Nothobranchius furzeri: one gene and its partners. The protein of the gene in region 1 purifies or fractionates together with the protein of each later gene. This does not show direct contact. Links are inferred from orthologs where the notes say so. Each region holds a gene or a part of one and is shown on either strand. Other genes may lie near its edges.

Region 1 (6,274 bases):
AAACACAAAAAAAACTTAAAACTAAAGTTTGGGTCAGAACCACGTGCAGTCAGAGTAAGCTGTTCCTGTAGAACCAGAACGGTCATCACTCAAACGAGACCGAGCAGCGAGCCCAGCGGGACGCCTAAAGCAGGAAACGGGAATGTTCTCCCCGCCGGGGAAACAAAAGTTCTGTTGGCCCATTTGCCGGTACCGCACTAGAACACTCGGTCGAACTCAGTCTGGCTGGTGGTGGCCGGGTTCCGGTTCTGGTTGGGCTGCTGCTGGGGCATATGGCCTCTCCGTCTGGGCGGAGCCAGATACTCAAACATGGAGGTGTTGTGAGTGGACAGCATGTTCTTCAGGTCCGATGGCATCGGGTCACACCAGAAGAAGTCATGGTTGAGCGCGTCGTCGCTGTCGATACGCTGCGATGGGTCCAGAACCAGGAGTTTGTCGATGAGGTCCAGAGCACACGCGTCTTTAACGTAGGCCTTCAGGCGGTCCTTCACCTTCCTCTTCTGGCCTTTGGGCAGCTCCATCTTCTGGTACAGCTCATACTTCTTGTCCACAGTGGGCCAGACCTCAGCTGTGATGGAGCCGCACAGCTGGCTGATGAGAGTCAGCTGGTGCTGCTCGGTGTTCCCCTGCATGATGGGACTCCTGGTCCACATCTCCGCCATGATGCAACCCGCTCCCCACAGGTCTATGGGGGGTCCGTAGTCCCGCTCACCTGAAGGACACAGAGCCAGGTTCTGTTAGAGGGTTCTTTGTTACAGAACGTTCCTTCAGAAGTCCAGAGAGGCTCATACCCAGCAGCAGCTCCGGAGGTCGGTACCAGAGCGTGACGACCCGGTTGGTGTAGCGGTTCCCCTGACTGTTCTTAGCCAGGCTGAAGGCCCGAGCCAAGCCAAAGTCCGCCAGCTTCAGGACGCCGTCTCTGGTGATGAGCACGTTGGCGGCCTTCATGTCTCGGTGCAGAATCTGAACCAGAACACACGATTTAGGACCGGGCCCACTTGAGACCGGGTCTTTAATGTTCTGCTTCTGATCGGTCTCACCTTGTTCCTGTGGATGTAGTACAGCCCGTTCAGCAGCATCTGCATCACCTTCTTGATCTCTGCCAGCGTGAATTTCACATTAGCGTTGCTCAGCAGCCCGGCCAGGTCGTGCTCGCAGAAGTCGAACACCAGGTAGATGCTGCCTTTGTACCGGTTGAACTGGGTCGCTGCAACAACAAAAACACTGGGTGTCACCTTCAGCTCCAGCAGCAGATGGTTCCTGCAGCTGAAGATCCGGCCTGAAGCCACTAACCTTTGGTTCTGCAGATCTCAATCAGGTTCACCACGTTCTCGTGTTTCAGCAGCTGCAGGATCTTGATCTCCCTCAGAGCTGTGATGGGGAACTGAAACGAAACGAAGACTGAGCGATGCTGGAGATGCGGTCCACGCGGTGATATTAATGAGACGACTCGGGTCATTTGTTTATGTTCATATTACTTTAACCAAAGTGAGCTGTAATCTAAGACAGCGGTGTCGTCCCTCTCATGTCTCCATCTGTGCATGAAAATGGTTCTCCACCTTCACACAGCTGATCATCAGTGGTGATCAATACATCTACCCAGCTGTTGAAGTTCTCCAGACTGAATGAAGGAGCCTCAGTGAAAGACTCCTGTCATGTCTGCACCACATATTTCTATCCTGAACTCAGATAAGAGCTCTCCAGCATTCACCCCACCACCTTCAAACCAGTGAGAAGTTCTAACGTGTTCTTCAGCTTCACCAGAGTCAAAATGATTGGGAGGTCAGGGGTTCGATTCCTGGACGGGTCATACCAAAGACTTTGAAAAAATGGGACCCAATGCCTCCCTGCTTGACACTCAGCATAGGGGTTGGATTGGGGGGTTAAACCACCAAATAGTTCCAGAGCGCGGCTTGTCTGCAGCTCACCGCTCCCGCAGGGGATGGGTCAAATGCGGAGAATAAATTTCGCACACACACCTGTGTGTGTGACAACTAATGGGACTTTAACTTTAGATGCTGTGAACCCCCCCCCCCCCCCCCCCCAATTGGTGGACTTCAGCCTGGCGAGGTCATCAGCTGGAGGAGTCAATGTGCTCTTCACGCCTCCCAAGATCTCCCTCCCACCTGTGACTGTACAGTAGATGAGCGCCTTATGGGCCATTCCCATCTGTACCGGGTCGGCCCGGGCCGGGTAGCGTAGGTTGTTTACATATCTGGGTGGCCTGGTATTTTTCCGGGCCAACCAAGGCTCATTCTCAGCCCTCTTCTCGAGGGGGTCTGCTTCAGGCCGACCAGGGCCAACACACCCACTGCTGACAGCAAATTCACACCTTCCATTAGAGCAAGCCTCTGATTGGTGGGTAGAATCAGCCCACATGGGCTTAAGGAAAGGGTGTGTGGAATCAACCGGGCCAGGCTGGGGCCGACTGGGGCTACCTGGCCCAGGCTGACCCGGTACAGATGGGAATGGCCCATCTGATGGCTGCTCTCGCTGGGGGAAGAAGGATCCCAGCCCCACCCCGCCTTCCTATTGGGAGTCTCATGTTGTGGACTGTTGATGTTCATGCTTATATGTCTGAGGTGTTTTTTTGCAGAGCAAAGCTGCCCTCCCTGTGGAGGGTAGCTCTGAAGTGCCTTTTTTCCCTCCACCTGAACCAATCCTCATGTAACCCTCTTATCTCTATTAAGGTAGCGCGACTCAGGGTTGCGAATGACCACAGTCACCAATTCTTGTCATGTGTCTTGCCCATGTGTGTCTGATCTCTGAATTGTGTGTACTGAAACTCTAATTTCCCTCTGGGATTAATAAAGTATCTTTGATTTGATCTCAGCTGTGATTTTAACCACAACAAGCAGCAACAGAAACTCAGATCTGTCTTGTTTCAGGCTCTCTTCAGGCTGCAGGAGAGCAGGGGCCACTCTGGGACGTGGATCAGGGATGCACCCATGACCGTACCAGTATCAGGTACTGCCCAGACACAACACAACCAATACCGACCACGTGGGTCCACTGTGGTGGACGTTAAACCCTGTTCACTTGTTCTAAGCTTTAGCGCACTCGAGTGGGGATCCAATTAGAGCCCTGCAATGGGACTGGTATCCCACGGGTCCCAATGCTAATCTCAGCAAGGCGAGCGACTGAGGACAAAACTGTGGGCACCACATTAACCTGCTAGAAGATGGAGAGTTCAACTGAGGTAGCTAACATGGAGAGGCGGGTTTGGACGCGGATGCTGTGAGAGCCGGTGGTGATGAAGAAATCAGCTCTAGTTCGAGCCTCTGAGGCCCAGGAACATCCAGCTGTTCAGACCCATATGATTGCCAGCTTCACACTTCAGATCATAACTGACGTAAAGTCTTTCAACATCTCTAAATGAGCTACCAGGTTCTCGTCTCTCACCCCTTCCTTTTCATTTTCCATCAGGACTTTCTTCAGAGCAACCTTCTTCTGCGTCTGCCGGTGCTTGGCTTTGAACACCTCCCTGAAAAGACACAAACACACGTTTATCCTGTTTTAGAACAAGGACTTAAATGTTATTGACAAGCGCAAACCCTAATTTCAGAGTAAACATTAGAAATCAGGATCAGTAACAGTCTTGATCCAGTTACCTGTAACCCCTTAAGGCAGGGGTACCCATGTTTTAGTTTTAACCACACCTGATTTTAATCAGCGGGTGATTAACAGGCTTCTGCAGAGCCTGATGAGCTGCTGTACAGTGATTTAACCACTAAAGCGTGTTGGAGCAGAGAAACCGCTAAAACATGCTTTATACCGGCCCGCCAGTGCCAGTTGGCACCCCGAATTAGGTCTTCCTGACGGTCCATCATGGTTTTTCTTTGGATCTTTACTGAGTTTCCGTCCCTGCTGCAACTAAAGACCCTGAAACAGAGCTAGCCCTCCTCTGTGTGCACAACACAGCCAGAACATGGCCGATGCTACATCAGCTAGCACCGCTAGCACAAACACAGACCCGTTCACTTTACCGCACAATGAAACGTCTCAAACACGTCTGTCTCACCCGAAGGTTCCCTGTCCTATCTTGGCCAGTTTCTCGTACTTGGAGAACTCGTCGCAGAAAGGAAACTCCACTCCGTCGTAATATTTGGACATTATGGCGGCCTCGCGGTCCGGCCTGGTGGGGACAAAGAGGTTAGACTGAATATCAGGAAACTTATAGACAGAAAAACCAAGACACACCACACAGACATACCCAAAAACTTAAATATAAAACATATATAACAAATGAGCGAATTCGTAGTTGGAAATCTTACTTTTCAGCCGCGCCAGCGCTGCTAGCTTTCTCCCGCTGCATGACTGCGTTGACGTTCGCCTTTCTTCTTCTTCTTCTGTTTAATGGAGGGTTGGAAACAAACCACAGAGGATATTCTGCCACCAACTGGACAGCAGATGTAACTACAAGTCCCCCAAGGACACGTTCAAAACCCAAAACTCACCCCCAAATCAACTTTTTCCACCCGAATAAACAGGCCCCGGTGTCGGTACAGGATCTGCTCGGGTGCAGAACCGGCTCGGGGTCCTTCGACTGCCGATGACGTCAAAGTAGTTGATTGGCTGAACATGAAGCTTACGGAAGTTACGTTATCACGTTTGATTTTAATTGGTCAGAACAAATTTGCGGTCGTAGTCTTAGCGGTTGTAGTCCTGTAGTCCAAAAATCAACACTTTTTGGAGAAAATATGTTTGAATTTCTAAAGGAAATGTAAAATATAAGCAAATGATAAACGGTGACCCTCAAAAGTTCTTGATGTTGATGAAATAGGGCAAAATAAAATATAAGAAGTTTACTGAAAGACACCAAGAAATATTTTGAGTCAAAGAATGTATTTAGATAACAACTAAGGAAATATACAGACGAAGTCCCCATTAATACAAACAGATATGGCTTCACATGTAAGAACTGTTCTATTTTTTGTCAGTCTGATGTTGGTTTTATGCAGTTTCACATTTTTTACAAAACAAAGATAATATGGTGTTTTATTAACAAATTAGAATTATAAAGAAAACATTTAGGTTGATTCTCCAAATCTGAGACCATGGTTCTCGACCGGGAAAGGGTGGCTTGCCAACTCCGGGTCGGGGGAGAGGTCCTACCTCAAGTGGAGGAGTTTAAGTATCTCGGGGGTCTTGTTCACGAGTGAGGGTAGGAGGGATCGGGAGATCGACAGGCGGATTGGTTTGGCGTCTGCAGTGATGCGGACGCTGAGCCGATCTGTCGTGGGGAAGAGGGAGCTGAGCCAGAAAGCCAGGCTCTCGATTTACCGGTCGATCTACGTCCCAATCCTCACCTATGGTCATGAGCTTTGGGTAATGACCAAAAGAACGAGATCGCGGATACAAGCGGCCGAAATGAGTTTCCTCCGTAGGGTGGCCGGGCTCAGCCTTAGAGATAGGGTGAGGAGCTCGGACATTCGGGAGGGACTCGGAGTAGAACCGCTGCTCCTCCGGATCGAAAGGAGTCAGTTGAGGTGGTTTGGGCATCTGGTCAGGATGCCTCCTGGACGCCTCCCCGGGGAGGTGTTTCGGGCATGTCCTGCCGGCAGAAGGTCCCCGGGTCGACCCAGGACACGTTGGAGAGGTTACATCTCCAATCTGGTCTGGGAACGCCTTGGGGTCCTGCCGGAGGAGCTGGTGGACAAGGCCGGGGAGAGGACGGCCTGGAGCTCCCTAGTTGGGATGCTGCCCCCGCGACCCGGACCCGGATAAGCGGAGGAAGACGACGACGACGACATTTAGGTGTTAACGAACAAGAATTTATTAACAAAACTGCTGATGTCTTTCCAAAACGTATGTGTGAAAGCCGAGTAGAGTTGCAGTCATGTGACAGAAGGTCCTAGCCAGGAGACGCTGATGGTGGATGCTAACGTAAAGCGTATATCCAGTGTCTTTATTTGTATTTACTTCTAGTTTTCTAAATGTGGCAAGGTGGAGAAACGAGGGCCCGGGTGGGATTTGATCCCCAGACTACCGGAAGTACCAAAAATTGCAGTTCCACCGTCATCCACTAGGGGCTGGTGTCAGAAGCGAGCAAATCCTCATTGACTCCCATGTTAAAAATACCAATTTCATAGCAGAAATAAACATGTTTACAGCCTGGTACCAAAACATGTTTTTGGTTTAAATGATCTAGTTTACACTCATGACAACTCTGAGGGGGGTGAATTTTTTTCTCACTCTTCTGTTTAAGTGTGTTAAAAGCCTAAAATTCTGTATAATTAATGAGCATCAGACCCACGTGACCACAGAGCTAGCT
Region 2 (6,324 bases), on another chromosome or scaffold:
AGACACAGCAAAGCACGATACAAAATCAGAGTCCGAGAGTCCCAAAAGCAAGACTGCTCCGGCTGCTTCTGTTCAGTAATGGACACCGCGGCTGCAAATGCGCTGGCAACGATCATCTGTATGCAGCAGCAGAGCAGGCCGAGGCAGATCAGAGCGAGGGGGACATATATGTCGCAGGTGCGATGAAAAAAAAAATCTGTGTGCATTAAACTATTTTTACACGTAGCACTCGTGCGACATCTTTTCAAGCTACTCCCCCCCCCCCCCCCCCCCAGAACTTTATTGAACAAAGGTACGTTGCTTGCTATCGTGTAAAGAAGATGCCTTTTACTGGTGCACAACGTGCTAACAGGTGCTGTGGAGGAAAACAGAAACCAGAAAAGACACAAAGGCAGAAACGGTCCAAAATCTAGGATTAAAAGTGGAACTACGGGTAGATTAGCTAACGCTAGCGAGTAGCAGATCAAGTGAGGTTAGCCAGGTGGTTAGATCCTGCTTTTTCCAGTTTCGCCGGCTACCAAAGATGAAATCCATCCTGACTAGACATGACCGGCACACAGTGATCCATACATTTGTGATCTCTGGCTTTGATTATGCAAATTCCCTTCTTTATGGATCTACATCTTCCTCGGTTGCGCGCCTACAGCTGGTGCAGAATGCGGCGGCCCGCCTTTTGACGGACACCAGAAGGAGGGAGCACATTAATCCTGTTCTGGCCCAGCTGCACTGGCTCCCGGTGCGTTACTGCATCCAGTTTAAAATTTTACTTCTTGTTTTTAAGTCACTCCGTCTTTATGCTGCTCTGTACTTGACTCAGCTGGTTCTGCCCTACGTACCTGGTCCCAAGTGTTTGGGCGAGGACGCAAGGAGAACGCGCGTTCTCAATCTTTGCGCCTCGTCTCTGGAATCAACTCCCTCTAGCAGTGAGAATGGCCCCCTCTCTCTCCGATTTAAAATCACGCCTGAAGACTCATTTTTATTCCGTGGCTTTTACTTCAGCCGAGTTAGCATTGTACCATGTCTCTGTTTTATTTTTATTGATTTTATAGTAGTCACTGTACTACTTTTATTACTTTCTTCCCGTGTGTGGATTTTTATGCTCTTTTACTGTGCAGCACTGTGGTTGGCCTCGGCCGTGTGGGAATCTGCTTCATAAATAAAATGGAAGTTCCAAATAAACACGATGGTCGTGAAACTAAGAACATCTAAACTCTACCAGCGGAAGAAAAGTCCCCGCCATCCTGTTTATTGTTAGCTTTCTGCAGCACCAGGGAGCAGAACCTCTGGTTGCTGCTTTGAGTCTGCTCCGCTGCGGGGTTATGGCAAGCCACCGTAGCATGTAATTCACAAACGCATCTATCCGTGAACGCAATTTAAACTGGATTAGTGCCAACCCGTACATGTGTCACCATTACATGTTAGCAGTAGAAAGTAAATGTTATTAGCGTTTCCAGTAGCTAGCTACTGAAAATGCTAATTAAATTTTAACTAAGGATACATTTAGGTGACAGCGTGTTGTTTTGAACGCCACTGAGCTGTTATCTAATCAAGTTCCATTGTTAAATGTTCCCGTTTAATCTGATTAATCGAATCGATGACCCAAATAATCGTTTGTTGCAACCCTACACCGCGCTCTTTTGCCCCGCCCACATGCTCAGAGATAACCTCCTGACATCACAGGTCACTGACCGCCCATGTGCCCCCCCCCCGCTGTCTCACACATGTTCTGCACTACTCTTCTCTACCATTTCTGTCCTCGTCTCCGGCTCATCCACCGTCTGACCCTGGAACCAACCCTGCTGTCTGTTCCCGTCACCAACGAGTCCTTTAGGGTCTGCACCGCTCTCTAAACTCTTTCATCATCTAAATCATCTAGCTCATATCCTACCTGTGGATCAGAATCACTAACAATGAGGATTATTATTCCAACAAGCATCAGGCTCCTCAGACTACCTGACACTCGTCACTTCCAGAATGATCCCAACACCAGCTATTCTGACCACTTGTGAACAAGCAGCATCTTTTAGGCAGCGTAGTTTTAAATCTACAAGGTAATTCATGAAGTCCAACCAGCCTGTTGTCGTGTTTTAACGTCGCCATAATCAAATCTCGTATGCGTTTATTCACTCCGCTTGGCCCAAACGCAACACCAAATGAAGCTCATTGCGCTCCACAGCTGGCTCTCCTTCAGCGGCTAATCTGTGGTAGCTTCTGCAGGAGCGGCTGAGAAACGGTGAGAACCTCCTACCCTGTATGCTCTGAGCTGGCGGTGGTGGGACCAGACTGGACTCTGGGCCACTTGCCTCTGCTGCCTCCTTCACACTCTTCTGGGACTTGGCTTTGGGATCCGTTTTTGGTTTATCCAACATGGAGGGTGGCTGGTTCAACTCCACCTGAACAGAAACCATTAGAGATAATAAAAAAAATAATGTTATTGTTCCTAACTACTGAGCCACAACACGTCGAAACAACTTAGCAGCGTAGTCTAATCCAGCTCCTACAAGATCATCCCTGAGCCCCAAGTCCATCGACACGCTCAAATGGTTTACTTAAATCCAAACTTCCTCTGCTGGGAGACGAAAGTGAATTTTGTCACGGTACAGCTGCCACGTCATGTGACCATGAGATGATCTTCCATTTTCATCACAATCCCTAGTTTGTGGCAGCAGCTCAGGGAACACCTAAACCGCGCCTTCTGGTGGCGGCACGCCAGACAGCGAAGACAAAATCAGCACAAATGATGAGAGCCGTCGCTCTAAACAACAAGCCCCGCCCCCTTCTTTAGCTCAGGTGGACTTCACAGGAAAACCTTAACAGGTGACAGGAACTGGACTTTGCGTGTGAACAGGTGTTCACCTCCGCTCCTCACCTGTTTCCTCACAGGGAGACGGGCATCCTCAGGAGCTGGTCCCAGAGCCAGGCCCAGCAGCCAATCAGAGTACGGGACATTCTTCTCCACAGCTGCTCTGAACTTGGGGTCCCATTTGGAGTAGAGCAGTGTCCCTCCCACGCCTCCGCCTACCGTCACCAAGCCGAGAGCAACCACTCTGGAGGCGCCGCTGTGATGGGGAGGGGCAGACGGTTAGGTTTTTACCTGTGAGGTGTGTCCTTACCTCACCTGAGGGGTCAGTTACCTGCTCCTGCTGGTGGAGTAGCACCTGTAGGACTGCAGCGGAGTCAGAGGACTTCTCACACAGTTCTTCTGAAACACACAATGTCCCAGGTACAGTGAAGGCAGCATCTACGGTTGTGACGTCACCTCCAACTAAACTCACCTGTAAACATCAAATCTCTGAACACACAGGTCACCTGAGAGGTGCTCGTTAGGGTTCGGACCCTAATCCTTACCGGTACCGGAGGGAATGTAAACAAAGCCTAACCGCGGGCTAACCAGAGACGCCAAACTGGACCGGATGTCCTGGCACAAAACTGGTTCTGTTCAACCCTGAGAACCGTGGAACCTTGAGCTGGGTCACCGGATGACCCCACCATGCTAGCTGCTAACAGGACGGGTTCGGCTCTTACCCGGACCGTGGCGTGGGCTCCTCGCAGGCACACTCCAAGCATGGTCCTCGCTTCAACGGTCCGAGTCCAAAGCGGGTTCGGCGGTGGCACCACGACAACTTTCCTTCACACAGTCGCTCAGCGGACACAAACCAGAACCGGACCGGAACCTCCTCCCGCTGCCAGGCTTCACTTCCGGGTGGAAAAGCAACCCGTCTTCAGCGCCACCTGCTGGTGGGGAGTATGGCTCCATCCACGCGGACGTTCTCTCCTCTTTACCTGTCGGTCCTCGGGTGGTCTTCCTCCTGGCAGTAGATGGTGAAGGTCCACACTGTGGTCCGGCCCGCATCGCACCCGATTAGAGTAAAAACAGGTCCAACTGCCACCGGTCCCGTCCATCAGCTTCTAGTCATCACTTGCTGACTTCTCATTCTCACTCGACTCCCGCCATCAGGCACGGCTCGGCTGTGGAGGTCTCCGTAGGAGCAGAACCTTCTCTAGCTCTCCGTTCAACTATTCCCAGGAGGGGAATGCCGGGTCACAATTTCTGATCCAGTTTTCACACGTTCCCCTCCACTCCTTGATCGATTCCGTGGTCTTCAGAGAGCAAATGAAGTTTCATTGATGTTCTCCACCTGGTCCATCGTGAGCTCCTTCACCAAACACACTGGTTCCAGCATGTTTCCTAGTGCCGACACGTACACAAGAACAAACTCGTCCCGTACTCACTTCCACCTGAATGCCTCCCAAGTACTTTATTCCATAAAAACTCGGACCTTCTCAAGGATTTCAGGCACCAGTCAGAACCAGTAACGAGGTTGTTCTTTTTATTTTCATGTCTTCATCAAAAGCAAACAAACAAACAGTTGTAATAAGGACATATTAAAATTACACGTAGTTCATAACAGCAAACGTAAAACTGTCCGGCTCAACAGTCAAATCAGAGCTCTACAAAATATTCTACAAGCCGTCCGCCGTCGCTCCTCCTTAAATAACTCCTGGACTCAGGTCGATGCGACGTCTCCCCACCGGGACACAAACAGACGAGGACAACAGGGGCTCATCCCAGCAGTCTCCTGACGGGTCAAAGCTGGAATTATAAACCTGGTGGTGGAGTGATCTCCCTGAGCAGATGTCCAAGTTAAAAGTGTCCTTTTTACGGACTAAAAACAAATATTTGAACCCAAACGACTCCAGAACACACTTCCTAGATGCAGGTGGAGTTCAGCAGGAACCCCAACCATGAGCTACACCATGTCAGGCCCCCCTGGGCTCTCTGTCCTCTGGACTTTAACTGGGGTCCCCAGGTAGTCTTGATCCTGAACAACACAGAACAAGCAGATTCAGAACCGAGCCCAAAAAGTGTTAGGTTTAACCTGTCGGTTCGTAACTACGCTAACTCACCGTTACAGAGGAGGCGTGCACCCAGTGGGCGGTGGGGGGGTGCTCAGAGTGCGACAGGGTAGGGAAGTCCAACTCGATATCCATGACGTCACCAAAATCCAGCTCCTCACAGGGGTCCAGCTCCTGACTGGAGGAAAAACAAAATGACCTGCTGGGTTCGGCACAAGGAGGCTCCTCCGAGCCTGACGTTCTCCTACCTGCTGTTGCTGTTAGGAGTTGTCTTCTGGGAGCTCAATGACGGAGGATCCCAGGCATGCAGTTTGACCTTCCAAAGCTTGACCTGCTGGTCCCAGGAGCGCCGGCTGTACTTCCGGAACTTATTGGGGGTTTTCGGGTGGATGCCTGGCTGCCGCAGGTGCCTGAAAGCAGACACGGTCCAGGTTTTACGGACAACTCTCTACGGTGAGGGCGCTCCGATCAGAGAGATTTTTAAGAGGTCGGCCATAACCACATAAAACAGAAAGCAGGAACTTTTGTATTCACGCTGATTTTGAAACATTATGATGGCTTAGTTCTAATGTTGACAAGATCCATAGACGACGACACCGTAACATCCCACAATTTACAACAGACGGGGGATTCAGACACCGGAACATGTAGCTGTTAGCAACAGGCTAACGCGTATCCTCCGGAGAGAACACGTCTGCAGGTTGGACGTATTTTAAGCTGGACAGTGGAGGTGGAGCAATAGCCTCTGTTGTGTGTGCACACTGGGTATTTAACATGCCGAGCTGTAGTCAACACGATGAATCTGAAACGCCACCCTAAAAGTAAACCCTGCTCAGTTCACTGCAGCTACTCGGACAAAAACACGAAGCAGGACTAGCTGGCGGGTGTGACCCGTGTTTGTGACCAGCAACAGGCACGGCCATCATTTATCACTGGAGCTGGTATGAGCTGTCACTATTTAAAGAGCAAGTCACCCCAAATCACATTTTTTTTTGCTGATAAACTATATAAAGGAGTGTCTAATCATGCTACAGACACGTGTCGTCAATAGTTTGGCAGTTCAGTGCATCTTGGTTAAAATTCAAATATTCTGTCTAAAACTGTCAGTGTTGCGCCGTCGTCAGAGAAAAATTGTGCACTGTATTAGAATTTAAACCTGCCAATGCTATTGGCTAAGAGGTATGATATGATGTCATCTGGTACATTATGATGTCATAATGCCATTGTGAGCCTGTGTGTGTGTATTTGTTAGCGGCTCCGCCCTCTCGGTCTGCCAAGCAGCAGCATTTGTTGCATTTTTCAAACATGAAGAGGGAGTGAAGTAAGTTTCTTGTAGGGGGTGACTTGCTCTTTAACAAACATCTCTGCACAGTTTGTGCCCAGACCCGCCCGTTCAGTGGAGGGAACGCGCACCGATCAGTAAACGATTTGAACAGAGCCACGCGGCTACTTTAAAAAATACTTCAA
Region 3 (5,408 bases), on another chromosome or scaffold:
GTCAAAAAACCGCTAAAACAAAGAGAACTAACCAGAATCCTGCATGTCCTTGTCCATGTCTTCCTCCTCATCCTCTGGCTCGTGGTTCTCCAGCTGAGCTTTACGGGCTTCCTGTTAGAAGTCACATTTTTAGCATTTTCAGATAATGCAGTGATGCGTAATAACACAGCCTATCGTTCATCACATTTATAGGTTCTGCTTTTACCAACACTGAGAAAAAGAGTCTGAATGAGCTTTAATGACTTTCACTGACCTGAGCTTCCAGCTCTTTCTCATTCATATCTCTGTGCTTACACACTAGTACAGCATTAGTAGTGGACTGGGCCCCAGCCTTGGCTCTCCTCTTACTCAAACGCACCCTGAAGGTCAGAAGAAACCATTTAAGGACACCCCCACGACTAAACCTATTCTTACTGCATGAACAGAAAACAACTGGAGTGAATGATGACCTCGTCTCCAGCTCGTTGTAGTAAACACCATCTCCATCTCTGAAGATGAAGAAGTAGTTCTCTTCGTAACCTTTGCTGGCTTTGTTTTTGACGTTCCAGTTGTACTCCCTCGCAATCTTGTAATCGTACCTGAGACACACGCAGAAGATGGTTTTATACTTGATACTGCAGCAGACTCCAGCAGGAGTCCTTCTAACAAGACAGAGAGAATATTTTGTGTTTCACTCACAGATCCTCTGGCATAAAGTCCAGTCCCTCCTCAAAGTCTCTCTTTCGCTTACGGAGCGTGTCTTCATTAGGCAGGAAGTAAGCCACAAACTGATTTCCTTCCTCGTCCATCATTCCTCTGCGTTAAACAATAAAGGGATGCTTTCAGAAAAAAAAAAACACCTTTTTGTGACGTATACTTATACCATCATTTCTTTAGCAGATACCTGATCATAGCTTGAGACATCATTTCCACTCCTGCTGGAGCAGAAATGTCCTTGGGTGCCGGATCAGAGTCGAAGATGACCTGAGCACACGGGTTGATCCACATCTGAGGAGAAAATGTGAGAGGAAGGTATTTATTCAGTTCTGCTAGTGAAGCAGCTACGAAAACAACAACGTGTGTGTGTGTGTGTGCGTATGTGTGTGTGTGTGTGCTCATTCTTTAGGCGGCAAGGTCACCTTAAAGTCAGGGAACACAGGGAGGATCTCCACAGGAGTAACTCTGGGTTTGCTGTAGTGCTGTGCGATCTGGAAACGAGAAACAACAACTTTTTGGTTTATTATCTCACCATACATGATGTTTTTCCACTTTTGCACCAAAAAGCTAATTTGCAGATTAATATTTTAAAGGTGAAAACACTTCTTGCGAGCACTTTTCTGTCTCAGTTGCAAATTGTCTGCCCAGCAGGCTGCATTGCTTCCCGCTGCTGTTGGACTCATGAATGACAATCCTAGGGCCGCCCACTCAAGTCGCTTGGTTTCAGTCACATGACCCTGTGTTGTGTTTGCACCTGAACTGATCCGCTCTGATCAGTACCTACACTTTCTTGTATATAGTAGCCATTTCTCTAATTATTGCCACTTTATATTATTATTTTATCATGATTGTATTCTTACTTCCTATATTTACGTATCCCCAGTTTGTATCTTTCTTTTTGCGCCAAGTACCACAGAAATTTCATGAATTCTTGTACATATGGCACTAAAACCCTGATTCTGATTCAGCTGGATGGGGTTATAGCAGCATCATCACGGCGCACCCCTCCCCATCCAGGTAGTCTTTAGTCCAGATGCCTCCTCCCCTCGACTGTAAACACTAACACCGGGTCTCACCATGTAGCTAGCAGGGAGTTTAATCTCCACAGTTGTGAAGAAGTGATTTTTTTCTTGTCCAGTCTGCACTTTAAATAATGTCTGGAACCAAAAAATGGACGTGTGCCAGTGAGAGAACAAGACTCCTGTCTAGTCTTCCTAAAGAAGAGTTTAATCATCAGAAAATGTTGGATTTTAACTTCAGGAGCTCTCAAAAAGTGACCGTGATTTGACAGACTGCTTGTTAAACCACCACCAGCACTAGAGATGCTTTACTTCTTCAAACCAGCACCAAATCTTTTTATATTTTAAATTCTTTGTTTTTGTGAAGCGCCTTGTGATTTTTATCTTGAGAGGCGCTATAGAAAAAGATTTTGTGTCTTTCATTCCAACGTTGAAACCACCTGGTGGAGAGTCATGTAGGTAATACCAAAATGCTAACTGCTAGCTGAAAGGTTATCAGAGAAAAACTGGGACCGATTCACCCCAGCTCTGTATGTGTCACCCTCCAGCTAAAGCCTGATTCATGCTTCTCCATCAGCTCCGCAAGGGACAGACACGCACGGATTGACGGAAGCGTTTTGCTCTCATTCTTCTCCGTCTCCTGGAGAGCGTTGCAAAGCAATTCCCCGGCAGGACAACAGAGGGCGTAGCACTGTTCTGTGGTATCCTATCATGTATCGGTCCAAGATAGTGTGTTTATTTTGTGTTTTTTGTATATAAGAGACTTTTTAACACAGACAAATTTGTCTCTCACCCTCCTCCACCTCTTCATGCGCTCGCCACCTCTAAACCCACGTTTCCTGTCATTTCTGTCCACAAATAAAACGCTTGCTGCGCATCTTTTCATTCCTCCAGTCACGGGGAATTAAACGTTCATATTTTTAGAGTTTTTTCGCGAGGTATTCTTCAAGCTTCTCCGTGTCTGCCGCTTGTTATCCTCGGCTCTCTTTATGTTTTTGAGGGCGCAACAGCGGCGCAGTAGACAGCAGCGGCGTCCTGACCAATCACAAGCTTGCATTCTCCGTCTCGACTGAAGGATGTTTAGAAAAGAGAGCTCTACTCCGTCCGTCCTTGCGGTGCTCTCCGGCAGGCCCGCAAGGACGTTGCGTGTCTCCGCACTGACGCAGACGGGAGAAGCATGAATCAGGCTTAAGAATTCTACGGGGGGGACTCGGCAATCACTGAGTGGGTCATGATGAATGACCCGCACCTGTATAGCGCCTTTCAGCGTCAGAGGACTCTAAAGCGCTTTACACTACAGTGAGTCATCCACAAACATATACACACACTGATGGTGATAAGCTACAGTGTAGCCACAGCTGCCCTGGGGCACACTGACAGAGACGAGGCTGCCTTGCACAAGTGCCACCGGTCCCTCAGACCACCACCAGTAGGCTAGGAGTGTGAAGTGTCTTGAGCAAAGGACACGACAGCAGAATTCGCTGCAGGGAGCCGGAATTTGTCCTGCAACCTTCTGGTTACTGGACAACCCGTTCTACCCGTGGGGCAGCAGTAGGTCAGGTGGTAGAGCGGGTTGCCTCATGATCGGAGGGTCATGGGTTCGATTCCAGATCCCGCCAGGGGTTTCCTGCTGTTGTGTCCTTGGGCAAGACACTTCACCCAACTTGCCTGTGTTAGTGGTGGTCAGAGGGGCCGACGGCGCCAAATGGCAGCCTCGCCTCTGTCAGACTTCCCCAGGGCGGCTGTGGCTACAAGTAGCTTACCATCACTAGCAGTGTGTGAATGTGAGAGTGTGTGAAAGCGTCTTTGGGTGTCTAGAAAAGCGCTATATGAGTTCTATGCATTATTTATTATTACCTCCTGAGCTACTGCTGCTAGTCTTTGGGTCTGCAGCCGTGCACTATTGTGGAATTAACACAGATAGAAGCTGGGTTTCATCAAATCCAAGCAGCTTATTTCTGGGTTAAAGGTATATCTCACAAAAAATAACATATTTATAAAAAATTACATCTCAGTAATGCCAACAGTAATATTTTATCATATAAAGCGTCAGCCGTTGCTTTGGGAGGTGTAAAATAGCATGATACAGGCCCTATAATTGTGGCGGGTTCCTGGTGAGTTCCTAAAATTCCCAAAACCATGGTTAACTGGATCAGGAATGCTGATCTTTGAGTTAGGTCTGGGTCCCTGCAGGAGCGCCAGGGCTCCATTGGACTTGTTCTTAACCTGTAACCTGGGTGAAGAGAGCCGGTTTCTGGGTTAAATCCCACCCACACAGGGTCAAACTGTGTCCACGAAGATAATCTTCATATAAAAGAACATGAAATGTTATTATTCAGAGCCGTTAAACAAACGTCAAACTTACCGATTTCTGAGCATCCTCGAATGTTTTCTCAATGGCAGAAATCTGACTGTCTCTGTCCTTGTAGATCTCTTCTTCTGTAAACTGCTGTTTCACAGAAACTCCAATCCTAAATGCAAAATAATAATTAAAAAAAGACGCCTACTAACACACACACACACACACACACACACAGACATATAAAACACACACTAAGAAAATCAAACTTACTTGACTTCCACCTTTTCATTAGATACACCATATCTGTTGAACTCTGTGGAGATGTATTCTGTTTTTCTCATCCACGGCACCACTTTTGCATGTTGTTGTGATCTTAAAAATGTAGAATAAACATATTCATTCCCCAACATTACAAAAAAATATGAAATGATAACGCCATATTTATCTTAGAGTTACCTTTTGGAACTGGACGGAGCCTGGATGTCTTCTTCCAACAGTTTTTCATCAGCAGGGTCCAAAAGAACTGAAAGGGTTAAATATTCAAATGTCTTTATTAACGTAACATAATCTAAATAGAAAACAACATATAAGGTGAGTCTGTAACTGGAAACTTACCGTTAGAATCTATGCGGTAGGTGTCTGGGTTAATGAGATCAATTGTCACCCCAAGGTCTGGTTCTGTCAGGAGCTCATGTTTGTGCTGCTTCTCCAGAGATGTAGCTTTATATTGAACAAACCTGTCAGAGCAGATCGATAAATGGTGTGTGTCTGTTTGTAACCTTATTTATCGAACTCAGAAAGCAGGAGAGTGAAACTACCGATGCTGATCGAATGGATATGTGATGAATTTGGGGTCAAAGGGGATGTCTGGCAGGCTGTTGCAGTACTTCACTCGACAGACAATTCCCGACCTGTCATGGGGACAAAAGAAAATGATAAGTCAAATCAATATGCATGACATGTAAGATATACATTTTAAAAGAGCTGAATTTACTTACCTTTCTGGAACAGTTCTGTGAGAAGATGGCCTACTGGGAAATAAAAGTAGTTTTTAAAAAATGCCAAGAAACCAGGAAAACTGCAACCTTTTAGCTTTGTCCCCCAAAATAACACTGGTGGAGACCTTTCACACCAACGAATGCAGCCCGAAGAATATTTACGTCGATAATAAACCAAATACACCAAAAGCCACAATGAGAACTGAAAGAAAACAAACGTTTGGATTTCTACTGTTTTTCTATATTGCAAAAATGCAAAACTATTCTATTAAACATAATTATTTTTTATATTTATTCCGACAGTCTTGAAAACACATTTTTTCTCCTTTCTTTCTTCCCATGGATCTCTGGAGGGAGCTCCAAGTCCCAGAGATCCAGGAGCTGCCCCAGAGC
Region 4 (5,837 bases), about 16 Mb from region 1:
GTCAGCGGCTTTGTGCTGTGTGATCTAACTGCACATTTCCAACTGGCCTTTAATGGCTAGTGCAACTCCGTCCTTTCCAACAGATGCGTGTGCGGCGTGTAACGTAATAGTGGCGATTTACCTGTGAGCATCATTCCAACAGTGAGTGTTTCGGATGCAAAATGGGAGTGAAAGTGTTCCACCCCACTAGTCTTGGGATGTCACAAAATAGCGGTAGAATTGCAACACCACTCGTGATTTCAGAAGTTCATGCAGTAACTAGCAAGGAGAAAGTCCGCTGCATGCATCCAGAAAGGTCTGCGGTTTATTTCCTTCTCTGTTAAACTCGGCTACGGAGGTTTCACAGGACATGACATACTTTTTTTTTACTAGTTAAGCTACTGGAAATGTGCACCTGACTTTTCTTTAGAAAATCTGTGGACATTTTACAATGTTTTTGTGTTTAACTTCCTGTTTAGACTGACCTGAACTGCTGAGTTTGATGTGTTCTGGAAGCTTAGCACGTAAAAAAAAAAAAACCTTAAACGTAATCAAACTTTCTTTTCGCGTCGGCGGCTAATTGTTCTATGCTAGAACCTTCCTTTTACTCACATTGTTTTATGCTAAGCATAACTTACTGCTTCCAGATCAGCAGAATGACTGAGCTTGTTAGCTACCAAATCCTTTTTCTCTCTAACCTAACTGGGAAATCTAACAGACAAAATGCTACATAGGGGTGGAATATTCCCTTAAGTGTAAACCAGTGTTGGGAGTAATGCGGTACAAAAGTAATTAATTACTGTAATGCATTGCTTTTAGCAGTAATGTGGTAATGTAAGGCATTACAGGGAAAGAAAATGGTAATATTTACTCGGTACAACTGTCAGTAACGCGGTAATTACAATGCATTTTTAAACCCAGAATCAAGATGTGTTCCTTAAAAATTCAAATTGCGGGAAACCCGAAGAAAGATCCAGTATCTGCATATATGACGTCATTTATGGACTCAGCTTTGCGGGCAGAGAGGACGCAGCGGCAACGGCTCAAATACTCCAGCTGCGTCCTGCACGCGGCCGCTGTAACATTCACAAAATCGCTCCACTAAAACAAAATAATTCACTTGCGATCGTTCATATCAGCGCATGTTCTCTGGTATTTTGTGCTTTTCTGACGTGCTTTGCCTCAGCTGAGTTCATAATCTGTGCCCCGGTGATTTCAACTCATTACTGCTGGAGCGCCGCGCATGTGTAGATCCCTTTGGCTGATTAGTTAGAAAGTAGGAAGTCTAGGAAACAGTTTTTCTGGAAGACGGAGAAAACATGCAGCGTGCAGGAAGGTTAGAGAGAGAAAGGGCAGGAAATTATTCAAATAAAATCAAGAAAACAAAACAAAGTGCTTGAAAAGAAAAAAGTAGGTAGATTTATCCCCAATAGACATTTTACCAGTGAAAAGCAATAATATATAAGCATTTAATATTTATACATGTGATAGAATCAGATCACCCCAGAAGTCAGGCCCACATCCAGGGCCGTATCAAGGCATTTGGGGACCAAGGCAATATAGGCTTGGAGCCCCCACCACCCCACTCCCTGCTCAGTTAATATAAGACGGCAGCGTGTTGAGAGTACATATTATTGTTGCTTTTATTTAATAAACAATCATTTTAAAGCACTGTTATTATATGTGGCTGTTTTTAACAGCAATCCTAGCTCAGACACCACATCACCTTCCACATATATGTCATGAGCTCACTGGGCGTCACATTACCAGATTCATATTGAAGTTGTTTTGGTGAAAGTAACTTAAAGTAATGCAAAAGTAGTGTAATGCCTTACATTTTTAAATCAGTAATATTGTAATTTAATGAATTTCTTTAAAATGAGGGTAACAAGTTATAAATAATGCATTACAGTTTTGAAGTAACTTGCCCAACACTGGTGTAAACAATAAAAAAGCGGCAGATTTAAAAAAAATGTTATCGTTTTAAAAAAATAATGCCAGCAAATGGCCGAAATAGAAAAAATGGCATATATCGGTCGGCCTCTAGCGAAAACAACAGTCTGCATCGGTCTAGGAATGTTCTCAAATTTTCATGTATGCTCAGTGATTGATCTCTGTTCATGTGTTTACCTTTTGACCACATCCTTTCTAATAACCTGAATGATTAAAAGTCCATTAACCAGCCTAATTCATTCACTTTGGGATCGAACACTGGGAGTACAGAGGGTGGTTACGTCAGAATACACACCTACTTGAACAAAGTGATGATGCATGTGTTGAAAGTGTTGTGAAACCACGCGGTTTGTTGCAGTAATGATGCCCCCCCGCCCACAGAATCACACGCTGAAAGTGACACTGAGGAAAATGTTGAGAAAGGGAAAGACAACGGTGATGACTCAGCCGTGAAAGCAAGGCGGAAGAGAAAAAAGAAGAACAAAGAGAAGCTGAAAATCGGAGAGGAAGTCATCCCGCTCCGCGTTCTGTCCAAGTATGCTCCTTAATAACAAACACAGACTGATAAATTACCAAAAAATGTGTCACTTTGAGGATCTGTCTTCCTCTTTTTGTCATGAAGGAAAGAGTGGCTGCAGCTGAAAGAGGAGTACTTGGTTCTGCAAAAACGCAGCATGGCATCGCTGAAGAAGACCATCAGGAAGATTAACGAAGACAAAACCCAAGATGGAAACGGTGAATTTACTCAGATTAGTTCAGATGTACTCAAACTATTGTGTCACGCACAAGAAAATGTTTAAAACCCCATACAATAATAATTTACCACTTATTGTACTGACATCATAGTTTCCGAACCCAAGGTATTTGAGGCGTTTGTTGAAAATAACTGTTCTTTTTCTGGTGTTTTTGTTCGATTACATTTTCCAAACAGTTTCTTTTCATGTTTGATTCTAGCTGAGCTGGAAAGCAAAAGTGAAAAAGAAACCAACCATGGCCCTCAGTTCATCAGCGGTGTGATCTTGAAGATCACTGACAGCAAACCGTTACCATCCAGGAAGATCATCAAGGTTCAGACTCGGCTTTTTGCTCATTTGTTCCAGTTTTCATGTTCGATGAGAACAATTTAAAGCTAAATTAAACGTGCACACTCTGTGTGGTTTGTGTGTGTTTAGGATACTCTGTCCAAGATATCCCCAGTGGCTTATGTTGACATCTTGGAAGGAGATGTTGAGGGTCACATCCGTTTTCACACCTCAGAGGAAGCAAAAGCGGTCTGCAACATTAAAGAGGACCTGCAGAAGGAGCACAGCTGGAAACTACAGATTCTTAAAGGTACAAGATTCATTTATAGAGGTTGAATAAAACAACCAATAACTGTTTTATTCGGGGTGTGTACGGGCAAGAATCAGGTGATGCCATATCACAATTCAGGGAGCACAAAACTATATATTGTGATATTAAAAGCCAGATCATATTTGCAGTTTTTAAGACTGAATTTAACTGGAAAACTCAGGCCAGACGCTTCAGATGCATTGTGTTCTTACGGGATCTCAATGTTCTGTCAGAATGAAGGAAGTAAAAACTGCTGCCACTTAGCAGTCGGAGTTTAATTGCGCCACACAAAAGAAATACAAAACTTAGGGATGGACAATATATCGGCATCAATATCGGTGTCGGCCAGTGTTAGTAGGGATGAGCGAGTACACCACTAACTGTATCTGTATCTGTTCAACCAACTAAATTATCTGTATCTGTACTCGGAATGGGCGTGGCATAACCCAGAAGTGGGCGTGGCTTAACCGGAAGTGGGTGTGGTTTACATCAATCTATTATTTTAAGTCTGAAATTGATATGAATTGATCAGAAGTTGCTATGTGTATTGTTTATTTGAAAACTATTTACAGAGCAGCCTCAGAATAGAGATGAAATATTTTGATCACAATAGTAAAGAAACTATTACAGAACAAGTGTTTCAATCAAATCAGAACATTAATATTTAAGTGCATGAATTAATACATCTGAACTCATGCAGTAGGAACTAGGAAATATGAAATGCTAGAACCAGACACAACTTTATATATATATTTTTATTTTAACTTGATTAAACAGATTTTTTTCTTAACATTCTTGGCATTTTGCCCCACACAAAGTTAAACAAAACAATGTTGATTGAGGTGTGTGTGTGTGTGTGTGTGTGTCTGTGTCTATGTGTGTCTGTCTGTGTGTGTGTGTCTGTGTGTGTGTGAGAGAGAGAGAGAGAGAGAGAGGGAGAGAGTTAAAAAAATAAAAAACCCGACCGGAGAGGAGGTAGAGACGCAGCACGTCAGCTCTGTCTTGTCAAATGTACCATGTACAGTAAGTTACAAAAAAAGTAACTTTAAATATTCAACCGAAAAAGAGGCGAGCTGAAGAAAATCTAAGGAAAACTGAAGAAACGTGAGCAACAGTGAAGCAAGCACAGCGAGATCCGTTACTGTCTGTGTGTGTGCGTGGATGAACAGGACGGACTGAGCTCCCGGCCGGCTAGAGTTTTGTGTGTAGGGAGGGGCGGGCGCTCTATGTGACTGGCCAATCACAGAGCGTGAAGACAGTCAGTTACCCAATGAGGATTTTCCTTCAGCACAATTACAGATATTTACAAGGTTTACTCGTGTCATGCTCGTATTCATCAAAAATGCTTTATCCGTACCGGATACTCGTCTGAAACGAGTATCCGGCTCATCCCTAAGTGTTAGTCATTTTTTTAACACATCGGTATCGGTTTGTTGAGTAACACCAGGCTGATTTGCTTGCCTGTTTCAGAGGGTGAGGGGTAGGGCTGGGTCGACGGACACGTAAAATACGTCGACGCAAATAATTTGCTCAAAACAAACATGGCGGCAGCGAGTAGTGGCAACATGAGTGGGGCAGTCGACTTAAATCACTTAACCCAAACTCACAGTTCAAAAGTATGGGACTATTTTAACAGAAAAGGAAGCGATTCAGTTGTTTATTTTATTTTATTTTTTTTTCAACTTTATTTTCATTTATTGACATTAAAATAAAAGTACAAAACTAAATTGCTAAAAGCCAAAATGAAAAAGGGGATAGAAAAACTTTTGCTATCTGCCCCTTTTAACTAAAATAACATTAATACAAATGAAACAAACATATGATTCTTAAAAAAATATGAACAATATAGTTTCTGGACCGGTTGGCCGACACAACCTCAACCCATGAATTGAAAAAAGAGAGAAAACAAGTTACACAGAAAGAAGCATAAAGTTATAGACTTATATACTTACATATATACACACATGCATACATAGACTTGTGCTCCCCCCCTTTTTTTTCTTTCATCCCCTCAACCCCCTCCCCTCACACATTTATGTAACAGATCTATATAAGTTAATCATTTCATTTTTTCTCTTTTTTGAAAGTCAATATTGTTTTTGCATTCTTGATTTCAGTATTTAATTTATTTCACATTTTAACTCCATAAATGGACACACAATGTTCCTTTATGAGTATCTTATGTCTAGGTATATTCATGTCCTTTTAAATCATATCTGCCATGTCTTTTTGTAAATCTATTGATTAAACCTGCAGGTGTGTACTCTTTGTTTGCAGTATACATACATTTTAAAATATTGTAGTCCACCAGATCATAGAATTTTGGTGTTTTTAATTTTACAAAGAATGGATTGGACGGATCTCTGTAGTTGCTCCTTGTTTGCCGGCTTTGTAAAATGGAAATGGCTTATCATAAAAGCACGACAACTATGCACCAGCACCTCAAACGACGGCATCCAGGAGCAGCTTCTGCAAACGAAAAACACAGTAAGTTTTCAACTTTTTTATTAACACTGTTTTACACACCCACATCCAAACACCCCCACGTAGCCATGCACTCACTCACACACACA
Region 5 (6,555 bases), on another chromosome or scaffold:
TGAGAAGGCTGAACAATAACCAGTAGGATAATTAGTCACCATGCTAGAAGCTTCTCTGTTGTGGACCACACCAGCTTCTGCCACAATAAATAATTATAATAATAAATAACATTTTTTTATTTCCTTTCTGAACTATTTCTGTTGAGAGTTTTAATTAGGGATGTGAATCTTAGAGCAACTCACGATTTGATTCGATTCCGATTCTTGGGGAGCCGATTCGATTCAGAATCAATTCTCGATTTAAATCGATTCACAATCAGTATTAACGAAGAGTGTCAGCTCCAGGATTAACTACTTTGTTGTTCAAGTTAGTTAAAGCTATGGGACATTTTTATTTGACTTTAAACTGGTCATGCTCCAAAAATGCAAATTTACAATGTAAAATAAAGTGATTCTAAAACTGTTAACAGAAGCAATATTTTGACCAAAAGGCAACATTTATTTTTGCTTACCTTGTAAAATATAACAAATCTGTAGTTACCTCACAGTTGCTTTGAAAGTAATATGGTCAAATACTTTTCATGTATGTGTAGAAACAAGTTACATGAGTAATCCTGAGTACTCATCAACTTAGAAAATAAATATGGGAATATCTCAAATTTCTGAGTATGGAAAAATTTACATTCAAGTGCCCTCTTATCAGCAGATTCAAACATAAATCATCTCAATTTATGGGACCACAAAAGTAAACGGAGTACTGACTCTCCTAACAAAGATCGAAAAAGTGCATCTCAAACCTGTAACATGCCAAATATTTGAGTTCTTGGAATCAATTCTGAACCTTTGTGAATCGATTCTGAATCTTTATAAATAAGAATCCAGATTCAAACTTGAATCGATTTTTTTCAGCACCTCTAGTTTTAATGTTTAAAATCTGTTAAGATTGTTACTGACAGCAGCTGCATTTAAGTTTCACTTCCTGTTCTGACTGAATGCTGCTGCAGCATGGAGGTGTAGTTCTCAGTCATCCTGGACATGATCATCCTGAGAGTTTTAGCTGAAAACAGCTGGACGTTTCTGGATATGTTGGAGACATTTAGCCTCTCATCCCAGAGGCTTCTTCCAGACTTTGGTTGTGGTCAGAAACAAACACACTAGTTGTGCTGCAAGTCTTTTTCTTTTCTTCTCCCAAACATGTTTTTGTCTAAATGAAGGTGATGTTGTTGTTCATAGAATTAAAATTCATGTTGAAGTTAAGATTATTTCATCAGGCAGGACCTGTGGTTAGCTGGCTCATGTAAAACATGTCATGTCTTGAAAGAATCGGAATCGGGAATTGATAGGAACCGGAATCGAAACGAGGAATTGGAATTGTTCAAAATCAAACGATGCCCAACCATAGTCAGAAGTGAGCTTATTTACTGTGCACCTTAGGAGGACGGCCTCTGATCTTCTGCTCTGCTTCCTTCTGGAGCTTCTCCACCAAGGGAATAGCGAAGGAGAAGGTCTTTCCTGTTCCTGTGCGGGCTTGGGCGATGACATCCTCCCCATCGTAAACAGGATTAAAAGATTTTACCTGAATGTCAAACAAGTAGGAAACTCCTCGAGCTAAAGATTTGATTGAAAAGTGACAAAAAAAAAAAGTTTAGATGAGAAAGAACAAATTCTCTCCCAAGAACAGAACGAGAAAAAAAAATAAACGTAGAATATAAAAAAAAAATACCATACATAAGAACTACAGTTTAAATCTATTTAGCAGCTTTTGTCAAATTAACAGATATATAAAAGGTTTTCTATGTTTACCTTTCAGTTTATCAATAGTGATTTGGGAGATTCTGAAATTGGAGAACGCTCCTTCTCTCTGCTCTGGTGTCAGTTCCTAAATTAAACAAAATATGGATTATTAGCTTTTTCAGAAGCACTAAAATAATTAAACATGTTTTAACAGGACTATAAATATCCCAGCTCTTACGTTTTCTCTTTCACCGTCACTGGCTGAGTCATCACTGGACTGGGATGGAGTCTGAACTGGTGTGTTTGGGGCAGAATGACCATTGGTTGTTGCCACAGGACTTTCCATTTTTATCTTCTTGTTTTTCTAAACTCACCCCAAACAAAATAAGACAGTAAAAACAGGTCAGAAACAGAATATTTATGCACCATAACACTATCACCCCACAACAGATGGTGTTGGTTATCAGAAAACAGAATCCAAAATGTCACCTTTTATCAACAGGAAGCTGTAAATCTGCCCAAACTTACCTCTGTTGCTTTTTTCTTTTTAGTTTTCTTTGGTGATTCTACACCATTGCTGTTTACGTCTGTGGCTTCATCTATATGGCCATTGACTTGGTCTGCTGCCAGTTTATCTTTTTTCCTTTTAGTTTTCTTTGGTGATTCTACACCATTGCTGTTGCTGTTTACGTCTGTGGCTTCATCTATGTGGCCATTGACTTGGTCCGCTGCCAGTTTTTCTTTTTTCTTTTTCTTTTTTGGTGCAGGAGGTTCACAGTCTGGATCCTGCTGCTCCTCCAAGTCCTGCTGCTGTTGCTTCTTCATCCTTTTGCCCTCCTTGGACTTATTCTTTATCTTCAAGAAAATCAACGCAATTTACATAAATTAAATAATCAGAGGCAAACGTTTAAATTAAATTATTACTAAATATCACAGAGTGCATTATCCTGATGATTTTTTCATGAAGATGCACTCTTTCCCTTCATTTACTCTTTTACCAAGTTTGGCATCTCACATGGTCCCAGGGATCCATGATGTAACTTCAAAGAAACTGATTGATCAGACCAGATCACATTTACTTATTGTTAATAAATGGTGTTTTTAAACACATCAGCCTCAAACACTGACTAAAGATTAAGGTATGGTTTACGCAATAAGCTGAGACAAAAAAAGCTGCTTAATTATTCAAACTGACTCAAAATACACCATCAGAAATGAAAACTATTTCAGTCAAATGTCCTGTTTAAACATCATGGACAGCTGAAGAATTGCGTAACGCGTCACCAAGACAGATACACACACAAAAACCTTCTCGTCGTGGCCAGTCAACTCGTGGTTCCATATGTTCTACAGATCAGCTGAATGGGAGGACGTTGTGTACGCAACGTTAGCTACGCAAAAATATGCTAACACCACGTTAGCAAGCTAATCACTAAACAAAGCTAAATTATGACAGTAGCCAAAGCAGGGAAACATGTATGCTGTTGTTTTGTTTCTGGTTTTGTCTTTTTCTTTTATACAAATTACAATCGTTTATCATTTAGCCGGCGTTTAGGCTTAGCGCGGACAGCCACATGTTGTCAACATGGAGGAGTCGACGGAACATCGTAGGAGACACTTTTATTACACTTTTTGGGTTGACACGACTTCCAACACTCACCTTTAAGGTTTTAGCCTCCGCGACAGTGTCCATATCTTGATCCATGGTGAATTCCTCGATTTCTGAGATGATCTTTGCTGGCATTTCTCTACCCAGTTGGAAACCCTCAGCGTGGACACAGGTAAAGCTACGGGCACGCGGATAGAAAGGAACGCGAGAGGCGGCGGCGCGCGGATACGCGGTCGCGAGCTTGACCCGGAAATATAAACTATTGTGGGACTACCATAAGTCTTGATCGAACAACGTTTTGGAAAGACTTTAGCAGATTTATTATCGGACAGCTCTGCAAAGACTTTGTTTTAAAATGGGAAAATGTTGTATTTTGTTTTTTTCGCAAGCACAGAAAGGAAGATGTATACTTTGTTATAAATTTGTTAATTATTCTAGCTAAATTCTATCTCCACAAATGCACATATAGTAACCAAAAACCTAATTTCAAGCACTATTATAGTGACACTCTATCTTACATAAAATTGATTAGTGGACCACTAAACAAAAAAGCTTTAAAAACTATAACTATTTGCACCACCTATAATTTATTTGGATGTGTGTAACATTTCTGTAGTGCACCACCTGGCATATGTTTCATCTTCTTTGTTCAATTTTGTATGCAATTTGTTTGTATACTTATCACCTTGTTCAATAAAGTTTTGAAAAAAACGCCTTGATCGAGTCAAACGACTTTTTTAACCCCCCTCAACCCCCCCCCCCCCCCCCCCCCCCCCAAAAAAAGCGCCTATTGACATTTCTCAGGTCCCTTTGCTACTTTCTGTATAACGTTCTTGTAGATATTCCTTACAGACTAACAAATAAACAATTTGCACTCTGAACCGTTCTTCCGGGAGTAAGGAAAGAGAATGTGCAGCCAGGTGCTACTCTAATGGCGGAGTGAACAGTCGCAATATTGCAGGCTCTGTAGTAAAATAGATTTTCCATTAGTCCTTGAATGTTATTTGAGTGCACTTTACTAAGAGAAGTTAGATAATTGCGAACGGATTCTTTTCTGGCAAAAAAAAAACTTTTTCTAAACGCTTTGTTATTTTTTTTAACTTTTTTTAAATCTTCGTTTTCACATACTTTCAGTTTACATTGTAACCTCAACGTACTGAAGAATGTAACAATTACAAATGACCTCACATGAGGAAAATAAAAAATTACATTTAAAACTTGCAACGATTACCAAATGACACTACCATGAAATAAATTATGATGCACAATAATAATTAAAATAAAATTATATCAACAACAAACAAAAAATGTTCAGAGGTTGATATTTCAGCATTGCATTTCAAACATGTTTGATTCATTGGACTGTAATTTAAAGAACAAGAAACTCAGACATTGTTTCATACAACTCAGTTATAGATTGGTTATTTTCTGATGATACTCTTAGAGATGTTGTAATTTGTTTTATTTCATTTTTAAAATGGTTAATGTTAGGCTTGCTGTTTTTCCATAGTCTTATGTATATGGTATTTTCCTATGACGAAAATAATGTTCACCATTTTGGATTTCTTTTTTGGAAAAGCATCCATGTATATCAACACTTTAGATTTGTTAAGCCATACATCATTTCTCTCAATATTTAACAATCGATAAACATCCTTCCAAAAACCAATTGTTACTGAACACGAGAAGAAAAGGTGCTCAATAGTTTCACATTCTGTCATACAAAAGACACGGATTCATATTAAAATTAAATCTTTTTCTTAATGTTTCGACAGCAGGATAGATATTATGTATTATTTTGAATTGAATTTCTTTCAACTTGGGTGCAATTGGCCATTTAAGATAGCTGCAATATGGCTTTGTTAATGTAGTTTCATATCCTGTGATTTTTGTTTTCGTTGGTTTTTCAAAATCATAGAATAACTATTTTTAAACATACTTCCAAGTACATAGTCATTACATTTTTGTTCACCTAATTTAAATGAGCCAATTTTCAACTCAGGAAGTTTAATCACCACATTTGAATTAAGCAAGATATTTTTAATTGTGAATTTTAAGGGAAGTGGAATAGCTCTACTGATTTGATTAAACTCTAACAGAGCATTTGAAATTAAAATTTTTGACAAAACATTCAAATTGTAACAAATTGCCATTTTGATCCATCAAGTCTGTCACATATAAAATATTTTTATCATACCACTCTTTTTTAAATATAGTCTTCCTATTAATTACAACGGCTCTATTATTCCGCAAGGTGGGGCTGTGTGGTGTAAAGTTGTGGCTGAATATCATTTTCCAGTAGAGCAGTATTTGTTTATGGAAGTCAGATAGTTTGATTGGTATTTTAGATATTTCAAAGTCGCATTTTAACAGGAATTCTAATCCTCAAACCTTTTGGAAAATACATTTTGGTATGTGGAACCATATAGAATGTGGTTGTATTAAAAAAGCTTTTATCCAGTTTAGCTTAAGTAAACATATCATGGCTTCAAAATCAGCAGTCTTTAACCCACCATGTTTATAGTCTTTAACCATCACAGACTTTTTAAGGTAGTGTGTCTTGTTCTTCCATATAACATTAAAAATGATCGAGTTTACTTTTTTTATCATTTGGGGGGGGGGGGGGGGCATAAAGAGACTGACAAGGATAGGTTAATTTTGATAAGCCCTCTGCTTTTGTTAATAAGATTCTGCCAATGATAGTAAGATCTCTCATGAGCCAGTGGTTGAGAGATCTTCTCATACCATCTATTTTTTCCTTTGTGTTTAGTTCTTCACTCTTATTTCTATCTTTGGACAATGGTAAACCTAGGTATTGGTGTCAGTGACTTTACAGCAATCCTCACACTAAGCAAGCATGTAGCGACGGTGGAGAGGAAAACTCCCTTTTTACAGGAAGAAACCTCCAGAGGATCCTGGCTCAGTATAAGCAGCCACCCCACGATTCACTGGGGATCAAGAAGACAGAGCAGACACACACACACTCACACCAAGTAATGTTTCTATGGTTACATTGTGATTTCTTAGTAAATATTCTATTTGGTGAGAGATAAACATTATTGTATTTATCCTAGTGAATCTATAATTAAACAGGTAAACATATTCATTGTCAAGGAAAGTTGAATGTTATTATCAGGAGAGGGAGAATGATTAAATGGTTAGCAACAGTATTCAAGACGATTGCCCCCTCCATGAGGCTGCCACAGCTCAGCAGAACATCATTGTAGCTTCTTCTGGGGAGAAAAACACTTAAGAGAAAAATACAAAGTTAA

What was found.
Region 2: the proteins of cdk9 (region 1) and immt purify together in Homo sapiens (affinity purification with mass spectrometry; 3 studies listed by BioGRID, with this or other methods). This does not show direct contact. The link is inferred for Nothobranchius furzeri from reciprocal best matches to the Homo sapiens genes CDK9 and IMMT.
Region 3: the proteins of cdk9 (region 1) and paf1 purify together in Homo sapiens (affinity purification with western blotting; 3 studies listed by BioGRID and IntAct, with this or other methods). This does not show direct contact. The link is inferred for Nothobranchius furzeri from reciprocal best matches to the Homo sapiens genes CDK9 and PAF1.
Region 4: the proteins of cdk9 (region 1) and larp7 purify together in Homo sapiens (affinity purification with mass spectrometry; 15 studies listed by BioGRID and IntAct, counting the BioPlex papers as one, with this or other methods). This does not show direct contact. The link is inferred for Nothobranchius furzeri from reciprocal best matches to the Homo sapiens genes CDK9 and LARP7.
Region 5: the proteins of cdk9 (region 1) and ddx21 purify together in Homo sapiens (affinity purification with mass spectrometry; 3 studies listed by BioGRID and IntAct, with this or other methods). This does not show direct contact. The link is inferred for Nothobranchius furzeri from reciprocal best matches to the Homo sapiens genes CDK9 and DDX21.

What each region holds. Positions count from the first base shown.
Region 1 is NC_091742.1:88,947,902-88,954,175, forward strand, and holds the start of cdk9 (cyclin-dependent kinase 9), read right to left. Parts: upstream 4,420-6,274; 5' UTR 4,316-4,419; coding exon 4,275-4,315; intron 4,136-4,274; coding exon 4,022-4,135; intron 3,485-4,021; coding exon 3,403-3,484; intron 1,385-3,402; coding exon 1,294-1,384; intron 1,208-1,293; coding exon 1,041-1,207; intron 964-1,040; coding exon 792-963; intron 713-791; coding exon 198-712; 3' UTR 1-197. UniProt on the Homo sapiens protein: Protein kinase involved in the regulation of transcription.
Region 2 is NC_091741.1:108,907,993-108,914,316, reverse strand, and holds the start of immt (MICOS complex subunit MIC60), read right to left. Parts: upstream 3,702-6,324; 5' UTR 3,568-3,701; coding exon 3,526-3,567; intron 3,203-3,525; coding exon 3,135-3,202; intron 3,060-3,134; coding exon 2,870-3,059; intron 2,394-2,869; coding exon 2,249-2,393; intron 1-2,248. Other genes in the region: slbp (histone RNA hairpin-binding protein), read right to left, coding at 4,752-4,823, 4,909-5,035, 5,106-5,267. UniProt on the Homo sapiens protein: Component of the MICOS complex, a large protein complex of the mitochondrial inner membrane that plays crucial roles in the maintenance of crista junctions, inner membrane architecture, and formation of contact sites to the outer membrane.
Region 3 is NC_091753.1:48,340,192-48,345,599, reverse strand, and holds part of paf1 (RNA polymerase II-associated factor 1 homolog), read right to left. Parts: intron 5,049-5,408; coding exon 5,016-5,048; intron 4,929-5,015; coding exon 4,836-4,928; intron 4,755-4,835; coding exon 4,633-4,754; intron 4,541-4,632; coding exon 4,474-4,540; intron 4,390-4,473; coding exon 4,288-4,389; intron 4,187-4,287; coding exon 4,081-4,186; intron 1,188-4,080; coding exon 1,119-1,187; intron 988-1,118; coding exon 884-987; intron 796-883; coding exon 679-795; intron 579-678; coding exon 450-578; intron 360-449; coding exon 254-359; intron 112-253; coding exon 33-111; intron 1-32. UniProt on the Homo sapiens protein: Component of the PAF1 complex (PAF1C) which has multiple functions during transcription by RNA polymerase II and is implicated in regulation of development and maintenance of embryonic stem cell pluripotency.
Region 4 is NC_091742.1:73,351,479-73,357,315, forward strand, and holds part of larp7 (la-related protein 7), read left to right. Parts: intron 1-2,313; coding exon 2,314-2,467; intron 2,468-2,554; coding exon 2,555-2,667; intron 2,668-2,886; coding exon 2,887-2,999; intron 3,000-3,104; coding exon 3,105-3,264; intron 3,265-3,277; exon of another isoform or gene 3,278-5,751; intron 5,752-5,837. UniProt on the Homo sapiens protein: RNA-binding protein that specifically binds distinct small nuclear RNA (snRNAs) and regulates their processing and function.
Region 5 is NC_091749.1:53,571,321-53,577,875, forward strand, and holds the start of ddx21 (nucleolar RNA helicase 2), read right to left. Parts: upstream 3,504-6,555; 5' UTR 3,419-3,503; coding exon 3,335-3,418; intron 2,530-3,334; coding exon 2,203-2,529; intron 2,039-2,202; coding exon 1,913-2,038; intron 1,820-1,912; coding exon 1,744-1,819; intron 1,549-1,743; coding exon 1,370-1,548; intron 1-1,369.